Cricetulus griseus: one gene and its partners. The protein of the gene in region 3 interacts with the protein of the main gene of each other region in a biochemical or structural test. Links are inferred from orthologs where the notes say so. Each region holds a gene or a part of one and is shown on either strand. Other genes may lie near its edges. The genes, in order: Plat, Fam20c and Fga.

What was found.
Region 1: the proteins of Fga (region 3) and Plat form a complex in vitro, tested with the Homo sapiens proteins (2 studies listed by BioGRID). The link is inferred for Cricetulus griseus from reciprocal best matches to the Homo sapiens genes FGA and PLAT.
Region 2: of the proteins of Fga (region 3) and Fam20c, one has a biochemical effect on the other in vitro, tested with the Homo sapiens proteins (2 studies listed by IntAct). The link is inferred for Cricetulus griseus from reciprocal best matches to the Homo sapiens genes FGA and FAM20C.

Annotation. Positions count from the first base shown.
Region 1 is NW_023276807.1:60,916,832-60,923,956, forward strand, and holds the end of Plat (tissue-type plasminogen activator), read right to left. Parts: intron 6,981-7,125; coding exon 6,785-6,980; intron 6,646-6,784; coding exon 6,509-6,645; intron 6,420-6,508; coding exon 6,279-6,419; intron 4,988-6,278; coding exon 4,824-4,987; intron 3,608-4,823; coding exon 3,449-3,607; 3' UTR 2,711-3,448; downstream 1-2,710. UniProt on the Homo sapiens protein: Converts the abundant, but inactive, zymogen plasminogen to plasmin by hydrolyzing a single Arg-Val bond in plasminogen.
Region 2 is NC_048597.1:75,419,965-75,427,991, forward strand, and holds the start of Fam20c (extracellular serine/threonine protein kinase FAM20C), read left to right. Parts: upstream 1-4,306; coding exon 4,307-4,899; intron 4,900-6,560; coding exon 6,561-6,739; intron 6,740-8,027. UniProt on the Homo sapiens protein: Golgi serine/threonine protein kinase that phosphorylates secretory pathway proteins within Ser-x-Glu/pSer motifs and plays a key role in biomineralization of bones and teeth.
Region 3 is NW_023276806.1:71,311,530-71,319,556, forward strand, and holds the start of Fga (fibrinogen alpha chain), read right to left. Parts: upstream 4,569-8,027; coding exon 4,515-4,568; intron 2,464-4,514; coding exon 2,341-2,463; intron 1,912-2,340; coding exon 1,728-1,911; intron 814-1,727; coding exon 668-813; intron 154-667; coding exon 1-153. UniProt on the Homo sapiens protein: Cleaved by the protease thrombin to yield monomers which, together with fibrinogen beta (FGB) and fibrinogen gamma (FGG), polymerize to form an insoluble fibrin matrix. Fibrin has a major function in hemostasis as one of the primary components of blood clots.

The DNA of each region.
Region 1 (7,125 bases), on a different chromosome or scaffold from region 3:
GAACTCTCAGCAAGAACAATACTTCTAACGGAAACTTTAAGCAGGAGAAAATGAGTACAATTTGGCTCTGACACTGCAGTGCCTTGGAGGTGAATGGCAAAGGCATCAGTGTCTTTGGGGGAGATGTGAAGAAAATAGTCTTCTGATCGCTGCTGTCCCTCCCTGCTGAGCTGAACTGAGTCTGCATGGGGACTTAGGGATCCCCTGGGACAAGAGACACCTGTCTAACTGGTTCTACTCTGCCAATAGTATCACTAATGCCTTACTGAATCTGGTTGTAGGATACAACATGGAGGAGAAACAGACTTTGTAGGGGTAGGTGCTGTCTGTCTTCAGACACCCACTGGGGCCTTGGAGCATGTTCCCTCCAGATCAGGACTGACTGTTGTATTCTTGCCTCAGTCTGGATGGTTGGCGGGGGGTGGGGGGGCATTGGCAGCAGGAAATGTTATCTACTTATATTTCCTTTTATGCCAGTAGGTGGTAACTAGATGCCATCAATACTGTTTCTAATTGTTAATGGCTTTAAAAAGGAAATTTAATGAGAAACCCAAGCAGGTCTTAAATATCAAGGAATGTGTGTTCAGCTTTTGTATATGGAGTTGAAAGTCTCTAACACTTTGTGATTGATGTACAGGGCTGGGCTCTGGGGGGCCAGGACCAGGGCTCTGTGTTCCTCTGCTCTTTAACAACAACAGCAACCCATACAGTTACCTGGGACCATACTTGCTCTTTAGTTCTGTTGGCCTCTTTTATTAATCAGCCAGGAATAATGGGGCAACATTTACTTTCCATTTGACTCATTCCCTTCCTCTGGTGAATTCCAGACATCGCACCCTGCATTCCTTAACCAATCCTGGGCAGGGAGGGATGTGCTATTCTGACCCTTTGGTGTGATTCATAGGACTGTCTTGTTGGACACTGCTCCATAAGAGTCAGCAATTGTCTTCATTTGTGTATGGTTTCCAGGACTCCACTCAGGAATGTTGGGGCCTTTTGACTTTGTATTCCCATCCCAGAAGGCTTTTCGGCTTCAGTTTCATCTCACTAACCCTAGTGTCTGAAGAAAATCTTGTTCAGTGGGGGAGGGGTGAAGCCAGCTGCTCAGCTCCGCAGGACTGGGGTGGGGGCCTTGCTTACTACTGGGCTCAAGCTGTGTTGGAATGGGATGAGATGTATTTCTGCCTAAAATCTTAGATCAAACCCTAAAGGCAGACTTGTCTGAAGTCAAGAAATATGTGACTTAGTCTCTGATTCATATTGATGGAACTGGTCTGGGGACTTCATAGATTTCGGGAAACCTCCCAACACCTCCCTCATCAAGTTCTTTTGTGAGTTTACACTATTTTTCTTCTAAGAGTCTCCAACAGGGCAGTACTGACAAACCCTCAAGAGATAAGAAAGGCCTTTCTTTCAAAAAAATTTTTTTTTACCCAGCCACACCCGAGAGCAAGCATTACATCATGAGAGATTCTTGGAACTAAGATGTGGTGAAGAAAGCTGGAGACAATGGAGAGAGGTTTATTCTATGACTGGTAAGACAGTGTGCAAGGGCCAGCAAGAGGTCAGTTTTCAAAGAGCGCCTGTAGCTTGATCCTCCAACCTATGGTGGAAGGGGAGAAATGACTTCTGAAAGTTGTCCCCTGACCTTTACACCTGCGCTGTGTATGGACACACCCCCAGACCCACATCACGCACACTAAAGGAGTTACTAGAGCAGTAGGTCACAAGCTGCATACTTGTGTGCACTGGTCTGTGAGATAACTGTTTCTGAGGAGCAGAAAACAAAACAGAATGAAGAGGGAAAAAAGCAATCCAGTTAGTAGCATTTAGTGTGAGCCATCAGTTGAGCCGTTGCTATGTTAGTAAGAGATGGTTTGGGGTTTTTCTGGTCTGTGTTGCTGTAATTACTGTCCACAGAGTCATGCGACTGTCTGCTCAGTCTGTGGTCAAAGTGTGGTTGATTTTCCAGATGCATCTTCATTTATCACCTCTTGGAGAAAAACACTCATTTTGGCTTTCAGAGTCCTTAGCATCCAATCTACAATCCTGATCAAGTTCAGGTGAGGTTGGGGACATACCTAGCTCAGTAGTGGAGTACTTCTTTAGCACACCCAAAGTCCTAAATTCAATCCCCAGCTCTGTGTTTGCAGGTGCCTGCCACTAAGTTGGATAACCTGAGTCTAACCCCCAGGATCCATATGGTGGAAGCAAAGAACCAACTCCTGTGGGTATCCTCTGACCTTCACACATGCACCAGGGACTCGGACAACTGCTGTCCCCCACATTCAATAAAAACTGTTGCTCATCCCCTGTACTCTATTGCCTCTTAGGCCGCCAAGTCTTTGTTGTCACAATAGGGAAATTCTGGGTCTCAAGACTTGCCTGACTGCAACTGTCTACTAACGCCGTCTTACCATTGTGTGAAAACCCTTATGAATCCTACTTTTCCTGATGGTCCCTTCCCACTTTCACAACTGAGGTCCAATGAGGTCTCTGCTGTGCTGGGACCAGCTCCATTCTACTTTACTTCTGTGAATGCGTCTTGTCCGTGCCAACTCACCCCACCCCATTTCTACTGTTGGTGGCACCTGGCATATTGCCTTGGGGGTAAGCAGGATTTCCACATGTTGACTGAATGAAAGGAAGTCTTTCAACTGACTCAAAAGAAAAAAGAATGTGAACACAAATAAGCCATGGATACACACCATTTGAAAAGTGTGAAAAATACCTCTGGATTTATTATTTAAGTACAGTATATATAATACAGAGTTATGGTAAAAACTAAAATAGATTAATATATAAATATGCTAATGCTACTTCAATTATTAAAATCAAATAGTTCTCTCAACTATCTATAAAGTTTATAAAGAAAAAAAGAAGATTTACACTGTATACAAAGGAATACCTCCCAAGAGTTGAGGAGTGGGAAGCGGGTGGAGAATATTTGATTTCAAAGGTCTTATAGGGCTATGATCTAGCCAGCCAACATTTATGTCTCTTAAAGGCCCTGCTGGGCCCTCCTGTAACTATAAATATACATTCTTATCCCTAATGCAAACTTTCTCTTCTGAAAGATTAACCTGGGCTTTACTGTTGAGACATGATCTTTTGTCTTGTGGTCCAGAGTACAAAATGGTGGCCCAGGAGGGTGGACTTTGGTCTACCCTTCTTTTAAATCCCAGAGTTGTGGGAGGGTTGGCATTTTCCCATCTTCTCATCAGACAGATTTTATTCTAAAAATCAGACCTTCGTCCCTGAAAACATGCAAATTGTGAAGTACCTGTCACAAATAAATGCTATATCCTCTCCTACAGACTCTCCAACCCTCTGCTGAGGAGCAGTATCTAAAGATGATAGTGTAAAGGACACTTGGCCTTTTGGGTGTGTCTTCTATAGAAGAGGAAGGCAGGGCCTCCTCCAGATCCAAGGAGCTGGGTTGTCTTTGTCATTGCTTCATGTTGTCTTGAATCCAGTCTAGGTAATTAGTAACCTTGGTATATACTCCAGGGACATCCTTCTGCCCACAGCCAATGCCCCAGCTGATGATGCCAACCAAGGTCATGTGTTTATTGACCATACACACCAGTGGTCCTCCCGAGTCACCCTGTGGAAGAGCACAGATTAGTTGTTTGTATGTATGGCAGAGTGTTTGGAAGCAAATTTCCATTGCTATTTGTAGTATGAGGATCGTAGCCCTCAAAGAACTTTGTTCAGGGAGGGAGACTTGAGGCTATAGATTAGGCTGTATCTAAATTCTGGTAGAGCAGCATTAAGAGCCTGGCATGGTGGCACATGCCTTTAATCCCCGCATTCAAAAGGCAGAAGGAGGTGAATTCCTGAGTTCAAGGCCAGCATGGTCTACAAATAGGGTTCCATGCCACTCAGGACCACACAATGAATGAGACTCTGCCTCAAAATAAATAAATATCCACTAAAAAACAAAACACACAGACTTAAGATAACTGTTCAGAGCTGGGGTATGGCTTAGCAGTAGAGCAGTTAAAAAGCCAAGAGCTCCATTCTTAGCACCCAGGAAACAAACAGAAAAACTTCTCAAGCTTTATAAAAGCTGATTTGAGTGGGTATCGTGGTGGTGCACACCTTTAACCCTAACACTTAGGAGGGAGAGACAGGTAGCTCTCGGTGAATCTGAGGCCAGCCTCTTCTACATAGAGTTCCATGCCAGCCAGGACTACATAATGAGATTTATCTCTTAAAAAAAAATCTGATTTGGACTCTTCTACTAATTAGTTGTATCGCCTCAGTGAACTATGATTCACTTTTTTTTTTAAATCAGGTGTTTACCATCTGGGTCTTAATGTCAACGGTTGTTCTGTGCTGGTTACCACTTGGGTCTCAATGTCAGCTGTTGTTCTGTACTTGCCTCCTAGCTCCTTAGTAATCAGGAAATGGGAATTCCAAGTCCAGTGAGGACTCAGAACCTAAAATGCCTTGCTTCCCCAACTGAAGCTAAACTTTGGAAACTCTTTCTCAACCTCCTATCCTTGTCTTGCATCCCAAGGGGATGCCTTTTCTTGTCCTGCAAAGCAGGCCCAAGTTCTCCAACACCTTCAGAAGGCAAAGATTTAATTATGTTGTTTTACCTGTCATTTCAATGGGACTTACAGGGAAATCCTGCACTAGGTGGAGTTTCCTGCCACAAACCCGGAAAATGTGCTGCCATTGAGATGTTTTAAATTTAAGGAGCTTTGGCCTTTCTCTGTCGTTTTCTTCTTCGAAGCTCCACTTTTGAATCCCAGTGTCACACCCTCCACCATGGCTCTCACTCCCCCTGCCCTTGGGACATCCATCGAGTTTACCTGGCATGCATCATGGACATTTTGGTTGCCTCCACTTCGGGTGTCTCCAGCACACAGCATATTGTTTGTGATGGTTTTATTAAACAAATTCTGTGAAGTACAGCGGCTCGGTGGGTACAGCCTAACATGGGCTTCCTTCAGCCGATCAGAGAAGAAAGGAGATGCTGAAAGAAAAGGCACAGATGTCTCAGGGTGGAGACATCTCTTCCAAACCTTTTGGAAAGAGAAAGCTGAATTTTCCAGTAACAGTTAACCTAAATCAGGTTTTTACGTAAGACATGACCTACGTTTCACCATTTTGACCTCCAGCAGTTCTCTAGGGTGAGGTCACATTTCTCAGTAGCACTACTGACAGTTAAGCGAGATAGTTATCCATCATGAAGAGTGTCCTGTATACCACAGATGTATGGCAGCCTCTCCTAACCAAAGGCTAGGATCAGCCTTCTGCCAGACATGTGACACCTTGGCCACAATGATTCCAGACACTACCAATCGTGGCCTGGGTGGTGAAATCACCCCAAGAGAGAGCCATTGATTTAATCAGGCGTTCTATTATTTACTTCTTATAATTTAATCAGGGTGCTTGCCCTGTTTCTACTTTGGCAGTGAGGAAACAGAGGCTTCAGTAATTAAAAGAAATTAAAAAGTGTTTAAGGTCAATCTAATGGTCCACTATAATCCTGGGACACTGCAATTGCAAGTTGGAAACCACTGTAGGAAACACCATGAGACCCCATTCATTAAGTAACACAAATACACATCCGGCTTGAATAATCATTCCCTCAAAGGCCAGTGTGCTGAAGGCTAGGCCTGTGGTGCTCTTTGGAGATGGTAGAGCTTTTAGGAAGTGGCTCTGGGAGAAGGAAGTTACAGTTGGGCAGAGAGTTGAGACCCAGACTCTCCCTTTTCTCCCTTTGCTTGTGTGTTACTCCGAGGTACACATTTCCATGGCTGTAGGCACCTCCTACGATGTATTGCTTTGCCACAGACCCACAGACTGGGCCAACTGACCGTGGTCTGAAACTTCCAAAGCCATGAGCACAAGCAAAGCTTTCCTATCTTTAGGTTAATTTATCTCGTGTTCGTTGGCCTCATTAGAAAGCTGAGTGACACAGTCAGGGCCCCACAGCTAAGCCAGAGGCAAGTTTGGGAGACAAACTCAACTTATACAACTCCAGTGTCTAAGAACACACATACCTTTACACCCTCCCTCTCTATCTCCGCTGGACTACAAAGCTTTTCAGAGCACTTGCCTGTCCCAAATTCCTGTGACCAACACACAGTGTCCCCATAATGCAAGGAAGCAGATAGCAGCTTCTCATCATACAGACAGGCAGAGTTCCACCTGAGTTTTTCCGTGTCATGCCACATTTGGGACCAGAACATTGTGCGACCACTTCCCCTCCATCTGCCACATGATAGATAAGGTTGGAACCAAGACTTCCTTCCACTTACATTCCTCATGCTTGCCATAGCCAGACAGCTCGCACTCTGTCCAGTCAGGAAGCTGCAGCTTGGGGTCAGGAAGGCAAGCGGTGCTGACAGAGCTGCTCTCCTGGGCACACTGTTGGGTATCTGACCTCAGCTGCAGTAATGCTGGGAGTGAGAGAAAGGAGAAGAGAGTGACTCAGTGAGGGGAGGGACAGGGTGACAAAGAAGGGTGTGTGAATATAATGGCCTTTTACCAATGTCATTGTTGTAAGTGTCATAATCAAATTCATCATGGACTATGTATTTTTCGATCTCAAATGTCTGCTCCTCCTCTCCAGGCACCACCCTGTATGTTCTGCCCAAGACCACTTTAAGATGCTGGGGAGGAAACCTGGCAAAAAACAAAAAAACAAAACAAAAAAAAATAGCATGGGTATATTTTGTAAAACTTTAAAAAAATGTTGTTGGATTTTGCCTTGAGTGACATCCGTGGGCTGGCTCCAAAGCCTCAGAGAATGGGCAGTCCATACCTTTCCACAAAGCAGTGGGCGGCAGACAGCACCCAGCAGGGACTGATCAGCACCCCTCCACACAGGAATCTCTCTCCAGGAGACCTTCTGTTCTTGACAAAGATGGCAGCCTGCCACGGGTGTGAAGTGATGTCTGTGAAAAGTCCTCCTTTAATTCGAAACTGTGGCTGTTTGTATTGCCTCAGGCCGCAGGTGGCTGGAGAGGAAAGAACAGAGAAGGGGTGGGTCAGGCCTGTAGTGTGAGGACAGGGTTGAGAGAATCCCACATAGCTTTCTTTACCTGTCAGAACCTTGCTTTTTGCAGGCTACTGCCCTTGAGCATGCTGATACAGAATGATTTA
Region 2 (8,027 bases), on a different chromosome or scaffold from region 3:
AAAGCTTAGCTTCCACGCTATCACAGTGCCTCGGGGTTCTGGGAGTCACACAACCCTGCCAAGTGAGTCTGCTAGGCATGTATGTACACCTGTGTAGCACATACACATGTGCACCTGCCCGGGGCTTAGGCAGCATGCATGTGTACACTGAAGATGCTCCAGGCAAATGCACACATGCCAGGAGCATCTTTAGTGCACTCCTGATGCACAGGTACCTTCCAGATGCCTGTCTGCACAGCTCAGTGAACACATGGAACTTTATCAGCCCTTTGGAATTCCTTGACATTTTTATTATGGTCCAAAGATGGCCAGATTTTATAACTACTTCCTGTATGGTAGGGGAAAAATAAACCCTGTATTTAAAGCATACAATATGTTCAAATGAAGTCAAGTTTTTTTTAATTGTTATGCTTGTGTGATTTCGGGTTGTTTTTTATGGTGTTTCCTTGAGCCAAGTTTTCCTTGATACGTTAGTAGCTCTGGCTGTCCTGGAACTTCCTCTTACCTCAGTCTCCCCAGTACTACTACCAAGCCTGTATCCCCAAACCCTCTTTGGCTACTGGATTGGTTCCTTGGAGTCCTGTTTCTCAGAATCCTTGAACCACACTGGGGAAAGGATGTCTCAGATGCTAACCAATGGGATGGTCAGTGGCCTTGCATGAGCTGTCAGTCATGCCTGAATCCTCCTCCCATAGTTCCTCAGACTCGGCCTAGGGAACACAGATCCCACTGAGGTCTTATTTCCCCTGAGAACTTTGACTAGATCTGCAGGGTGAACCCAATACCAGGGCCTGTTTCCCCAGTAGTTGTGAGACTTGTGAGTAAGGAAACCTCAAAGAGAGAGATACCAGCGCCCTGTGAGTGCAGGGCTGTGTGGCCCAATGTCCCCTCTCTACTGCCAGCTGAGAAGTTCCAAGCCCTACCAGGGTGGGGAGTCCAGGGGACAGGACAGATCTTGGATTGCACTTCTCCCCTTCTCCAGGAAGGGGTCCTGGGCCTATCTGGACTGTCGTCTACCTGTTTGATAGGAATGTTTGATATCCCACAACTGGTCTCAGTGAGCCTGGGAGAACAATGAACTCTGCATGTGGACAGTGCATCCTACTGGCCAGAACTCACTGTACACTAAAACTTCCTAGCCCAACTCTCTTCCCTGTGCTACGGTGCCGTCTGTGCCTGGATAGCCTAGATCTTCCCATGGCCTGCCTCACTTGAGACATAATTCACTGTTTGGCAGTCACCTGTGGGCCTCCCAAGAGACCACCTTGCCCTCACACACACACTGTCACTGCCTCAGTCTCCCTCTTGCCCTCACTCACACCCCTCACCCAACACAAGCTCTGTGAGTCTCCTTGCTCTGGTGTGCCCCAGGGCCTTTGCATAGGAATCCTTGCATGAGTACCATTGCAGACTGCCAAGAGGGTCATTCCCATGTGCTGTCTCAGGGGCTTCTATGCCACCCTAATAAAATGCTCTAGAGCCACCTCCTAGGTTCTGGCAGGGGCTGCATGCCATCATCAAGGTCCTCCGTGGGCAGCGCCACCTAGCCTGGTGGGGCATGTGCACAGACAGCCATAAGGTAGAGGCTTTATGAGGTTCTGTTTCCTTTAGAGTGTGTGTGTGTGTGTGTGTGTGTGTGTGTGTATGTGTGTGTGTGTGTGTATGTGTTCCCATGTTTGTATCTGTGTGTCACCTGGGTTTGTATGCCCATGTCTGTGTATGTCTATGTGCACCTGTGTGTCTGTGTATCACTGTTTTTCCTTGGGTTTCCCATGTGTCACCTGTGTCTATGTGTCTGAATCAGTATGTCTGTGTGCAATTGTGTGCTTGTGTATCTATGTCATTGTTTTCCCTTGTGTTTCCCCATGTGTGTCATCTGTGAGTGTCTGTGTTAAATTCCTCCTCAGCTCAGAGTAGCTGGGGCACAGTGTGTCATGCCTTCCTCTGTAGGAGGACTGTGCCTTCAGAGACCTCTTCTGCATGAGTCACCTTGACCTTCCTGGGGCCTCTGGGTGGAGCCATGAGAGCTAAATCTCTTCGGAGACCCTCCAAGAAGTGCATGCATCTTGGGGAGAGGAAGGGCAGAGAGTAACTAAAGGGAAGCCTGTTAGTAGACAGCAGCAACAGGTGTTGCTGCAAAAAAAAAAAAAACAGCAGGCAGGCCCACTGCATACACAGGCTACTACATCCTACTTCCCTACAGTAGGAGCCAGAGAGCCAGGAATTCCCTGAGGGAACCACACAGCTGTAGTGAATGGAGTATCCAGGACACCAGGAGAAACCAGGGAGGCCCTCACACTGGTGCCCCCATTCCTCTGCCCTGAGGACATTCACCTATCCCCAGAGGTCCTAGGTTGGGGTGCTTCCTTCCAGAGACCTCAGGACCACCAACCACCAACTTTCCCATTCTGGAATTGATCTACACAAACTCATTGTCCGTGTGAGTGGAAGGAAAGCTGAATGCAGTGTCTCAATTTCCTTGGTGTAAGCCATACCTTCCTGGGGGTGCACTTCTGTTTAGGCCCCACCCACTGCACTCTTGGCGTTTCCCCTATGTAGTCCAGCACAGGCATCAGCTCCTGTTACAGGAGTATGGAACACACCACCTCTCTCCCTTTCTAATGGCCTAGGAGGCACTTTTGCTGACCAGCTAGCTGGCTGCGACCCTCTTCCTCACTAACAAGAAGCTAGTGGGCAACTTCTGAATATCGGCTACCACAGACTCATCGTTGAATCTTCAGAAATACCATATGCTGTGCACTCGATTCACAGAGATCTCAGGCTCACTCCGAGCATTAGAGGGCCTGGGAGCACAGCCAGGAGAGCATGACAAAGAGGGGCTCCCAGCGGACAGGCTCCGCCCCTCGGTCCCTTACAGAGGCAGCTGGGTTGGGCTGGTGTGGCAATCTGCAGGTGCTTGAAGCCGGGAGCTCAGCCTGTGCATCTGTGTGTGACCCTCTCCCGCTTACCTTCCCAGAATTTTAGGCGGAAATTCCCATGGATTTCTATTTCCTACTGGGGGCTGGGGACCAGAAGCCTCGTGGCGACAGATGAGACCACGTGGTAGAAGCAGATCTCCCCAAAATGTGCACCCCGATTTAGCATCCCAGAGGGCAGGCAGCGAGACGCGCCCCGCCCACCGCCCGCGCATCCAAGCCTCTCAGCCAGACCGGGCGCGGCGCTGCCAGGGTTAAGGCGCAGGCGTGTCCCCTGGGGTGGGGTGGGCCCGGCAGTCTTGCCGCGATTCTGGCGTCCCCTCGGATTGGGGCTCAACGCGCTCCCCCGCCGTTTTCTCCGCCGCGTGGCAACGTCGCCCCTTCGTCCTCCACTTAGCCAGCTGCGGGGACCGAGGTGCCAGGACACCGCCCGGAGGGGAGCTCGTCCGGCCGCGCAGACGCCCCGCGGGCTCCGGGGAGGGACTTGGCCTGCTTTCTGGCCTCCACTCGCCGGGGAGGAGCCGCTCGGTTGCAGCGGGCGGCGCGCAGAGCTTCGGGGACGCAGGCGACCAGGCCGACAGCCGTGCGCGCAAAGCCAGAGCCCGCTTTGGCTGCGGGCTCCCGGCCGGGCCTCTGGAGCTCCAGGCTCAGCACCGAGGAGGCGCGACGACACCGCGGGGCGCGGCCGAGGGGAGGAGAGAGCGGAGAGCGGGCGAGCGCCGCCGGCCGGCGGGCCGCGGCTCCGCCAATCTGCGGGCGCTGACGCGGGGGGCGGCTCCGCGGCGCTCGGATATCAGCGGGCCAGGCGCGGGGCGACTGGAGCTCCGCCGTGTGGGCGCTGCGCTCCGGGTCGGCCCGCTGCACCTGCCAGATCGCGGCTTCGCCCCGCGCGCCCCCGCGCGCTCCCCTTCTCGACCCTGTCTCTCCAGCCCGGCCTCCTAGCCGCAGCCTGACGGAGGAGCTGCCTTGTCCCCCGCCCAGCACCCAGAGTGGCCCAGCGGGAGCATTGCCCTCTGGATAGGATCCGTCGCGCCTCGGCCGGGGATGAATAGCCGCGCCTTCTGCCTACACACCCAATGAGTGTGGTCGCCGTCCCAGAGACCCTCGTCCGCTGCTGTGTTCCCTGTCATCACTGCCACCAGCTCCACCGACCAGGGCCGCTGGATGCCCCCCGAGATGGCCTGGAGAGCCGGTGCTTTTGTGGCGGGTGTCCTCCACGACGTCCGAGCCTGGGGACAGCCCCCGAGCTGGTAGCTGCTCGTACGCTGAATGGACCTTGACCCGTGAGTCGTTGCCGGCTTGGTGCCAAGCTGAGGGGCACCGGTGGAGCGCGCGTCCGGAACCCCCCGAGCCCGCTGGCCTGCGTGGCCATGAAGATGATCCTGGTGCGCAGGTTTCGAGTGCTCATCCTGGTGGTGTTCTTACTGGCTTGCGCTTTGCACATTGCTGTTGATCTGCTACCCAAGCTGGACCGGCGCGCTGCGCGATCCTCCGGGGAGCCCGGCTGCTCCTGCGCTCAGCCGGCGGCAGAGGCAGCTGGCCCAGGCTGGGCCCAGGCGAGGAGCCGCCCGGGAGAGTCCGCCGGTGGCGACGCAGGCTGGCCCAACAAACACACACTGCGCATCCTGCAAGACTTCAGCTCAGATCCAGCCTCTAACCTAACCTCCCACTCTTTGGAGAAACTGCCTCCCGCAGCGGAGCCAGTTGATCATACTCCACCGAGTCAGGAGCCGGGCTCCCCGCCACCCCGTGACCCTGCGCATCGGCCGCTACTTCGAGACCCTGGGCCCCGGCCACGGGTACCGCCCCCTGGCCCCAGCGGGGACCGATCGCTCTTAGCCAAGTTGTTTGAGCACCCACTCTACCAGGGGGCTGTGCCTCCTCTTACAGAGGACGACGTCCTGTTTAATGTGAACAGCGACATCAGGTTTAACCCCAAGGCAGCAGCAGAGAATCCAGACTGGTGAGCAGAGAATGGGAGGCTGGGGTGGGGCTGGCGCGCCCGACCCTTCCGGGAATAAAGACACCCCCTTAGAAAGCTATTTTACAGGCCAAGCATTTTGTGTATCGTTGGGGACCCTGAGAGGAGGCTGGGTAGGGACGCCTGGTGGGCGGGGCAGATGCGCTTCTTGCTCTGGGCCCTGCCTTTGTCTCCACAATGATTTCCTAGGGAGAAGGGCTGATGGGGTTTGGGAGGCCCCCAGTACCCTGGTGTGGGAGGCTGGCGGTCCACCAGGAACCAGGGGAGCCCAGTGCTCCACCTACAAGGAAGCATGCTGGCCAGCCCTGGCGATGGCTGAGGAAGCAGATGAATGAATATGTTGGGAAAGCCAGCCAGGGAGAGTGGGAGCTGCCTTCCCCTGGGAGGGGCTGGGCTGCTCTGGCTCTGAGACCGATGGGTGAGCTGTTCGGGGTGGGCACCTCCAGAAATCCTGAATGTACCTAATAAGTCTTTTAAACCCAGTCACTGGGGACGAAAGCAGCTGAGAAGTGATGTTGGCAGTGTCGAGGCCTCCTGGCAAGGGTGTGAACCAGGGCCACCCTGACTAGCTGTGGGGAGGAAGATGAGCCATCCTGGAGTTACCTTCCAGGCTGTCCAGATTTGTGCCCACCCCCACCCCCACAGCTGCACAGATCCAAATAAGCCCAGCAGAGTGAAATATTAACCAACAGCTGGCTAGAGCAAATAACCTGCAAAGGTTCCCGAGCAGCAGAGAGAGAGCACGAGCCACCCGTCCAAAACAGCCTCAGAAATCCTTTCCCCCCCTGGAATGTGACCAGGCCCTGTGCCCTGAGCCTGCACATATGAGCTCTTTGGTGGCTTCTGGGCTGTACTGGCCAGAAACCATCCAGCAGAGGCAGCGGAAAGAGTGGCCAGGGTGTGGCTTCTTGGAGGACCCCAGTCCTCCTTTTGCTTCTAGTGTAGGACAATCTGGAGTTGAAGGATCCTCACCTGTCAGTGAAGCAGAGCTAAAGCGGCCCTTCTTTCCCTCCAGCCTAGCAGGCTCCCAGAGGGTCTGTTCTTCTTCGAGACAACCCCATGGCCAGAGAAAGCAGGCAGCAGGTCTTCCCTCTGAACCTGGGCTGGAGTGACTGATTCCTCCGTCCAGCTCTCCCCACCTATGGCTTCACTCATTAAAATCAAATTTAGCCCCTTGCATCATCCCTGCCCCTAGTCTTTGGAACAAAGGCAGCAAGCTGGAGACGTTTCTGGCTGGCTGGGTGTGCCTACAACTTCTAGGCTGTCTGGTCCCAGGAAAAGCTGACAGTCCCTTCCCACACACTCCCAGCTGACATCATTGTTATGGGGGCACTTTTGGTGACCCCAGGACAGAAGTGTTGGGATAGCGCTGACACTCTGGGTCTAGGCCAGTGGTAGTTAGGGTTGTCTGTGGCGTCTCTAGAAGGTAAATAGGAATTACAGGCCTTAAGGTGTGTTATTAGGTGGTGGAACCGCAGCCGGGGAGGAAAGTGCAGACATGGCAGTGTGAAGGCAGCTTTTAGTGAACCTGTACTTTGAACCCAAAGTCGCAAGCCCTGACCCTCAGGACCAGCTCCCCAACATTCCTCCGCCTCTTGCCTCTCTTTTAACACTTGACTACAGCCTGCCTTCATTCCTTGCAGGCCACATGAAGGTGCTGAAGGAGCAGAATTCTTGCCTACTGGTGAGGCAGCGGTGGACCTCTATCCTAACTGGCTCAAATTCCACATCGGCATCAACCGGTATGAGCTGTACTCCAGACACAACCCGGCCATCGATGCCTTATTGCAGGACCTTGGCTCTCAGAAGATCACCAGTGTCGGTAGGTAGCCACCTGCTTGCCCTTGGTGCAAATGTACCTTGGTGTGGATGTACCAGGGCTGTGTGAAGCTGGCTTCTTTTCAGGTCGCTCACTGACAAAGGAGCCACTCTTTCTAGGGTATCTAGATGACCACCTTGGTAATCCAGGAGCCAGATGGATGCCTCAAGGCTCATTGCTGGAAAGTGAGGGTCACCACTTTGACCCCTGGTAGAGTTATATATGAAGACATATGGGCCCTCCCTCCCCTGTAAAAAAAAAAAAAAAAAATGACCTGGTGACCCATAGTGGCTGCAGCACCTCCTGCCAACATCTATGCATGGGCCATCTTTGTCCCTCCTGCAGGGGCAGCTAAATTGCATGGTTTAGCAAGGGCCTGAAGTTCTGAGCCTGTTCCCTTCAGAGTTCAGTAGGGGCCCAGGATCTCACCAGGTCAAAGGAGGAACAAGTTGAAGCCTGAGTATCCTGGATGGAGCAGTTTAAAAGGAACATCTCTGGGTTTTCGTGATCTAATAAGCCAAAAAAAAAAAAAATCCTGTTTTCAATTTCAGGAAAACAGAACATCAGGGGCAGTTTCTGAGCAGGTTTGGGGGTTGTTATCAGGTTGTGAGTGATCGATAGTCACTGTGGCTCAAGAGGTGGCATAGGACAGGCTGAGGGCTGGGGCTGTGCAGGGGTGGCCCTGGTGTGCCCAGTTGCATGTGCTTGGGTAGCCTGCCATGTGTCTTGAAAGCAGATCTGCTAACAGGCTCCCTCCGGTTATGGGCTTTGGGCCAATTGCTGACATGGAGCAGTTAGAAGCTGCCTGCCTGCGGCAACCACCTCTTTAGAGGTGTCTGGGGCTCTGCTGATCTGTGTGCTGGGCTCTTGCCTGGTCAAAAAAGCCAGGACCCACAGTTTCCCCCAGGGTTTGGTCAGATCACTTAGTGAAAAAGAGCAAGCTAGTGGTCTTCCACCATCCCTCCTCCTGCCAGGGAGGTCTGAATGCATCCCCACCTGACCCTGCCATGCCCCTTGTGGATTCAGGATGAGTGGGGAATAGTCCTTGTTAACACAAGGACTTTGTTATAAAGGAGCCACAATCCATGCCCTTTCTCTTTGGAGTATAATGTAACTGTTAAAGAAATACCCAAGCTGGGCATAAAGGTGAAGCCTGTCATCTAGCTATGCAGGAGGCTGAGACAGGAAAATCAAAAGGCCAAGGCCAACCTGGGTAACTTAACAAGACCCTTTTTAAGACAGAAACTGAAAAGAGGACTGGGAGTGTAGCTTAGTAGTAAAATCCCGCACA
Region 3 (8,027 bases):
CAAGTACTGCCTGTCTTTTGAAGGAAGCAAGTCTTTAGCAATGACCTGTTCAAGCTGCTTTTGCTGACCTTCATAGTCCCTTAGATCTATCTCACGGGCTACACCCCTGCTGCAGGACCCTTTGCAAGAGCGGATCTTGATATCAATGTCCACCTAAAGAGAGGAAGAAAGAGAAATGAATTATGCCTATTGAGATAGCTGAGTATCTGGTAATTGGTTTACATTTTGGAAATGGGTTTCACTTCTTTGACTACTAGAAAAATCAGTCCTACACTTTGTCTTTCACTTATCATGGTATCCTCACTGGCAGCTGTGTAGGGCCAGGGAGGTTATGCAGTGGGAGTTATTTGGATCCATTTTAGAATTTGAATGGGGAAAAAGAAAGACACAAATCTCTGTGAATGGAAGCTCTCAGTAAAGAGCCTCCAAGATGTGGAAGCCAAGGTGTCAGCATGTGGTGGGCAGACTGGAGAGAGTGTTCTTCTGAAATATACTGTTTTCCCTTCAAGAATTTCCTTCACATCTCTGTACTTCTGTCTTCTCCTCTGTGGCGGGAGACACTTTTATTTTGGGTGATAATGAACTTAGTTGACACTCAGAAGACTAGTGTCTTCCTTTTCTTTCTTAGTCAAAGACAAAGTGGTTGGTGCCAGGGTCTCATGCCTACCTCCAGGCGCTTCATGTCTATCAGCTGAGTCCTGACATTGTTCTGCAGAACTTGAATTTGTTGTGCTTTTTCTACAACTTTTCGCTTCAGGACCTCAATTCTGCGTCTCAGCTCTTCTGACACTTGGCCATATGTGTTATCAAAGTCTGAAACAGAAAATTCAGTGTATTCAACTGGCTGCAGACTGATTTGCTTAACCTCCTCCCCACCAAAGGAAATTGCTTATAAATATTTCCACACTTTACTTCTTTATAGTCTGTTCTCTGGATGTGCAATCTGCAAGTTTCAGGCTTAATTGGGTTGTTCCATACAAAAGCCATCCGTGGGTATTAGTCAAACTGTCCCACTCGTGACTAGAAATCCGGAAGAAAATACTTTGGAGTTTTAAAACTGAGGTTCTGTAAGTAGTGAGTTTGATTTGATTGAAACTTCATTCAAGGGACTTGAATCTATTATTAGATATTTCTGTTGAGATTTTCATTCCACCTGGAACTTTGAAATCATTTCTAAACATTTTGGGCATTACCAGGATCAGTCACCTGCCAGCTAGTGCTGCACCGTTGATATTACATTTTTCTGTGTTTCATAAAGACAGAAGGAGGCAAACAAGGCCACAAGAACTGGGACTCCCATGGACTTGCTCTCCGTGCTTAGAGTGACCACAGTACTTCCTAGCCCTGGTAAGTCCCAGGGGAAGACTGAGCATGGTCCTGTGTTTCAAATCTTAGTATATAATTGGCTCAGCAGAATCTGGAGCAGATGTTTACCTTGTGACTTTGAGAAGTCCCTTGACCTCTGAGACTCCTTTCCTCGTCTGTAGGCCACAAGCAGAGTATCTACTTGAATGGTCTACCTCTCCTTACTTTCAATATATGGGAAGTTAAAAATCTAAGCTAACTTCTCTGATTGTGGAAATGATGTACACCACCTTCAATTTAAGTGGCTTCCATGCTGAGTACTTTGGAATGGAAATCACAGTAGCTGAAGGAAAATGTTATCATTGGGGATTTTTGTTCTTGTTTTTGCTAGAAAGTCTGAGAACCAAATATGTACTACTCACTGTTGGCATTGGCGAAGTCTCCTCTCAAATACTCCATAATATTCCTGGTCAGCGAATTAGAATCCTTGTTGTTCTTTTGAAAATCAAATAGTGAGTTTTTAAGCTTGTTTATTCTGTTGATAAAATCTCGATTGACTTCATCAATCAGCCCTTGCATCCTGCAGCCAGAAGGGCATTTGTGGTTCTGAAAATGAAGGACAGGGGATTATATGAAAGGTCTCTCTCTTAGCTACTAGTAAGTTTTGTTAAAACATTACCTGAAGCTTCCCCTCCCCAGCTCTTCCAAGTATCCACTAACTTAAAAGTAGCTCGAAGGACTAGTAAAGAGGCCATAGGGAAATTCCAGAATGAAGGTCCACTTAGTCTTGCTCAAGGATCTGGGAATTTTCAAGTCCCACTATTCAGGCATCCAGTTTGTTTATCCCACTAGAGATAACTAGATAATGCTTTAGGACTAATTTTCTTTCTATTTTCTCTCTCTAATTTGGCATGTAAGGAGCTAGGTTACCCTTACATTATCTCTGATGGGGAAAGGTTTCCAGAACTCACTTAGTGAGCCTGTAGCTATTTGTCCCACAAGGAAGGAACCCTGCTCACCATACTCTCTGCTTACCCAATCTTCGTCAGAGCAGAAGGGCCAGTCTGTCTCTCTGCATTGGCTCTGCTGTTTCTCCACAACTCTTGGGCCACGCCCTGTTGCTCCTTCTTCTATAAATTCACCCCCAGTGTCTGAGGCCTTCAAGGAAACATCCAAAAAGGAGCAGAGGCAGCAATGTTAGCCATTATGATGTTGTTTATGGAAACATTAATGATGTCCACATGCCCAAGGAAGAAAAAGCAGAGGTAAAAGTCAAAGCCGTCTGCCTCCTCAGCCTGTCATCTTCTGACAATTAAATGAAAATTCTACTTATTCTACAGAGTCATTATGAGCTGTAAAGGAGACACAGGCTGTGAACTGTTTTTAAAATTGTATTGATGCTCAATAAGCACCTGCTAAATGTCAGGGGTTTAAAACAAAAAAAATGATCTGGATTAACAAAATCAGTTAAATTTCATCATTTTCTTTCCTTTCATGGCCATAGATGAAAAATTATAGTTCTTTCTCCTGTAAGTCTTCTTTCTGCATGTCTGTCCTCTTGCACTTGTTCTCCCTTTCTTTATCAGGTTTCTATGGTAACCTTTGGAGATGGTCCATGATTCAGACAAGCATTTATCAAGAACACAAGTGTAGGAAGTTAAAACTTGGCAGTGTTTTGAACTACAATCATGCAATTGTAGATTTCCATTCAAAATGAAAATAATAAACAGTTAAAGCAGTAGTCAGCAACTACCAATTATTGAACACCTTATAATTAGAAATACAGGGTTAAAAATTCTCAGCTATAAGCCAGATGAACTAAAAAACATTTTGTTCAACAAGAATTCATGGTTTAATGGATGAACATGGCTTTTAGGCTTTCATTGTTTTCAGTCTGTACTACTAACTTCCAAGAGTTTTACTGTCACTAGTTTGGGGTAGTTCATCCTATAATTAAGTCAATGCAGTCTCATTCTCATTTGTGAAAATTCAAATAACCCTAATTATCATAATTAAAGGAATGAACAATTCATTTAAAAGAACAAGTGGAATCCTTTTGTATAAGAACTATAATGGTAAATTCAATTGCATTTCAGAATAAAATAATGCAACAATAAAGCAGACAGAAATTGAATAAACCAACAAGAGTTAAGGAAAATAATAGAGCTATGAATTATCCAGAAACATCACCTTAGCTGGTGATTTTAGTTTTATTCCCACAAAAATGTTTTATTCTTACTCTCTGATTTCAAGATGTATGAATGGTGAGCCAAGAAGGCAACCAAAGTAATATGTACCCTGGGTAACTAAGTAGGGTGTTACTGAGTTTCTTGGACATAATTGACATGTTTCATAAATTATAATGCTTCCAAAGCCCTGCTGTTTTGGGTTTCTTTATTTTATATGTCTTTAAGTTTGAAATTATTTCAGTATTTAGAGATTATCCAAAAAAAAAGCACAAATCTTTCCGAAGAACACACTGCCTCACAACTAACTCCTTCTGAATTTTCTGTGTGTTTTCAAAGGTAATACATTTGCCTTTTACATTTTATGTCTTCAAAAAGATAGAAAAACTACCTTTAGGGCTGGGGATGTAGCTCAATGGGAGAATGTGTGTTAGCATCTAGAAAGTTCTGGACTCAGTCCTCAACATTACGAAAACCTACAGAACAGCTATACCAAACCTAAAACATGCTGTTTATCATAGACAAACAGCCAGAAATGACAAGTTAGAGAACAATTCCTACCAAATGATTTGTTCTGTTAGTATGATGTCTACAGACTTCAGAGGGAAAAAGGTGTGGGGACATTCACCAGGCTGGCAATCTGGCAACGTAGCTCCACTGTAGAAAGCTTTCCTGTCATGCCCAGACACTAAATAGATCCCGAGCACCATGAAAACATATAACAAACAAAAGTGCCATGTTGGAAGATGAAATCTCACAAATGAGTCAGCCTGTGTGACAGATGTCAGGTTCCCTTGATGATGTTTTCACTATGCCCTCCTATGGCCTTCCTCAACATCACAGGACCCTGTGTAGTTGTCAAGCCTATCTAGGCATTTGCCTCCATGGCCTGGCATTTATAGAGAGGGTAGAATGAAGACCTGGTATATAATAGTCTAACTAATGTAATAGACCTGGTAGACTCCAAACTCAAAGCTACTTGTAGGAGAAATACCAGACAATGACAGAAGAGAAAGTACATACCCAGACAGTGCTGGCCACACTCAGGATGAGGCAGGTGACCTTCAGGGAAAGCATCTTTTCTTAGTATGAGGATGGCTCATGAGGAGCACTGCAGCTGAAAGAAAGGAGGAATGACTCTACTCTTAGCTCCCATCCTACTTAAATCTGCAGGAGACTGGGTTAATCATCACCTTTGTCCTACTCAAAGAGCCAAAGCTCACATGGCATCCTTTGCTCTGACCATAATGTTGGTATCCCGGAAATTCTTGCTCAATTCTCTGTAGCTTGTTTGCTTCTGATAAGTTGTTGCAAATGGTAGCATTTGATTGTGCAGCCAGCAGTTGGGGGAAGATTCCACATTCCAGGAAGTGGGGGGACTTTGAGGGTACAAAGATGAATCATTTCCACACCCAAAGGAAGGTGAGGGTTTCTAGGGCATTCTGGCTGTCACTTCTGTGAAGGAGAGATTTAACCAATGACATTTGACTGTGTGTGTAGGATTCAGAGTTCATCCTACTTTCAAAACGACTTGAAAGCTTACAGTAAGCTTATGTTAAACAGATGGTTTTCCTCCATTCAAGTGTCAAAACAGCAGCCACTGGGGCCAAACACCTACCTCCACAATCCTAGCTCCATTTTCCTGGCTCTGTGCTTGTATGAAGTTTACTTTTCATCCTTGTGAATCAGTGTCCTCATTTAAAGAATGAGGGCAATGGCAACCTACTACATGTTAATAAATTAATGGGTGAATTATCTCAAGGCCTTCAGAGTAGTGGTCACCACCACTGCCTGGTAGTAAGTGGTAGCCATCAGTGAAGAACAGAAATGCTGTGGAAAGTGCTCTTTCTTTCCTCATTTTTGTCTTTGGGCATGGACTCTCTTCATTTGCTCTTCATCTCCATATCCAGTTCTCAGTAAAACTGCCGTATGACCCACCTACCCACTTCTATCCTCCCCCTAAAGCACTAGCTGGATTTTGAACAGATTTTTGCTGCATTATTCACAATTACACACTAGGGAAGCAGCTTAATACCCCTCAATATATGAATGGATAAAGAAAAGGGTAAATACAAGAAATTATTGTTCAGCTGGTGAAAAGAAGAGAAACCTGTCTTTGGGGAAATATGCTAAGTGAAAGAATGAAAGGTTCAGGCATTATGCTGGCCTGCCCCTGTTACCTGGTTGAACAGGCAATACCCTGGTCAGCCCAAGGTTCCATGGGAACTAGGTCTGCTCGCAGGTGCAGAGGACCCCTTTAAAAGATAGGCCCCTGCCCATTTACTCTCTCTGTATGCTCTGTTCCCCTCTCTCTTCCCCCCCTCCCCGCTCTGTCTCTCTATGGTGACCAGCCCTGGCGGTCAGTCATTTACCCTGTTCCTCTTCTTAGTTTCCTCATTCTGACGGGCCTTATAATAAACTTATAGTCTTATGGTCTCATGTCTCAGCATTTCTCTTTTCTTCCTTTTAAGCAAAACAATAACAAAGAAACTAAACAGACATGATTTCACTTCTGTGTGAAACCTGAAATGGGGAACCCGGAGATGGGTCCACAGTATTGGTGAGGAGATGAAAAATGGGGGAAATAAGAAAAGAAGGAAAGGAAAAGATAATCAAATGAGTGAATACATATGCTAATTATCTCAAAGGGGAATTATTTCACAATTTTTACCTATCAGTCATGATTCAATAAAGTTAACAGAAGCCTTTGACTTAAGTTTGTTATATTTAGTAATAAAAACTGAGAATGGCTAGTTAAGTTTGAATCTCAGACAGACAAACAGTGTATCTTTTGCAATATATGTATGTCTTCTGTAATATTTGGAACATACTCTTACTGGAATGCTATTGCTATACTTGTGAAATTCAAACTTAACGGGGCATCCCATTGGCTGGCAAGCAGTCCTACTTAGTCTGATCCTGCTTGCTCTGTAAAGCCACTCCTGGAAATAGCAGTCACTAATGTTTATTGAGTGCCTAGCTTACTGAGCTCCAAGTGTTTGGGGGACATTCTATGGAGTCCTGTTTTAATACTCAAATAAATGTAGTCCCTTGTTCCTTTATCTTTTCTTATACGAGTTATCACTGTGGCCTTTATAACTATAGAGGTATTAATTATCTTTTCCACTAGATCACAAACTGAAAAATCAAAATATTTTGCTTGTTTTTATAGTTTCTCAAAAAAGGTACAGATCGTCATTGAGCAAGCAAGCATGAATGTGTTCCTCTGTTGCAAACAGAGCAGCTCAGGTATGTGAAGCTTGCTACAGACAGATCAAAGCTCTCCTGGAGGCAATGTCTGAGGCAAGTTCCTCAGCTTTTTCAAGTCAGCTTCAGAGCTCAGAGGAAATCCTAGAGCCCATTGAGATTCCAGACAACAGTGATTCCTCGGGAAGCTGGTAAACATTCACCCACAGATACTATATCATCAAAATGCCAGGCACGACAGGGACAGGAAACCCCCTCAAAAGTTGCCCTAGGCCTGCAGGAAGCTCCTTTCAGGTAAATAAACAATAAATTAATAATAATAATAATAAATAACAATAAATAAATAATCTTCCTGAAAGCAGACTAACAGAGACAATTTCATTGAAAGCCATCATTGTGGAGCCTGTGGAAGCATTTCCAAGGATGTCACCTGAGGACTGTGTCCTTGCTGTTCCATGGTCCCCTGGAGTGTCTGCATATCTCACTTCCTAACTCTATCCCAGCATGTGTTCAAAAGGCACTTCCTCCTCCCCTTCCTCCTCTCCTCCTCTTTCCTTGTCCCCCCTCACTTCCCCCCACTCCTCCTTTCCCTCTTCCTTCTCTGATCACTTCACCTGAGGAGTAGCCACCCTAAAGTGCTTTCCCACAGCCCTGCATTGCTTTTCTTCATGGTACTTTATCACATTAGACAGCAGAGCAGCACCAGATGGTGGAGAGTGATACCGAACAATTGCAGCAGCATCCTTAGAAATGGCACCTTTAATTGTTCTAGAAGATCCAATAGTCTGTAATCAAAATGTCCTCATTTTCTCTCTAGTCCAAGGTTCCTCAAATAGGCACTTGGGTGGGCCTCCTTGGCCTGGTTCTTTATTATTCAGGGGTGTTTTTCTACCATATCACACTTCCTGTGACATTAAAATCATGCAGGTTCACAGGGTACAAATAACACAATAGTTATCACTTCAAAGAGCATATGACAAGACGGATAGTTTTCTAACTGCAAAAAAATAAATCAGAGAAATTTTCTGTGGCATAATTCTAATAGCTTTCTCCCTAGAAATTCACGCTGTTTTTCTTAGTCCTGTGGGAAATATTTGATTTAGATCCCTTTTTACAGCTAGCAACATTCTACCAGTTACAAATAACCAAAAGCAAGAATTTATAAGCTTGATGGGAATTCATATCCTGCATCATAAAAATCTATATGAATATGTACATTTACTTTTTACCAGGAGATACTTGGCTAAAACAACTGGAAAGTATAAAACGCTTCCTATTTTTGGACTGACCCTAACAGGAGATTTTGGCTTTTGTGACTAAGCATCCAGG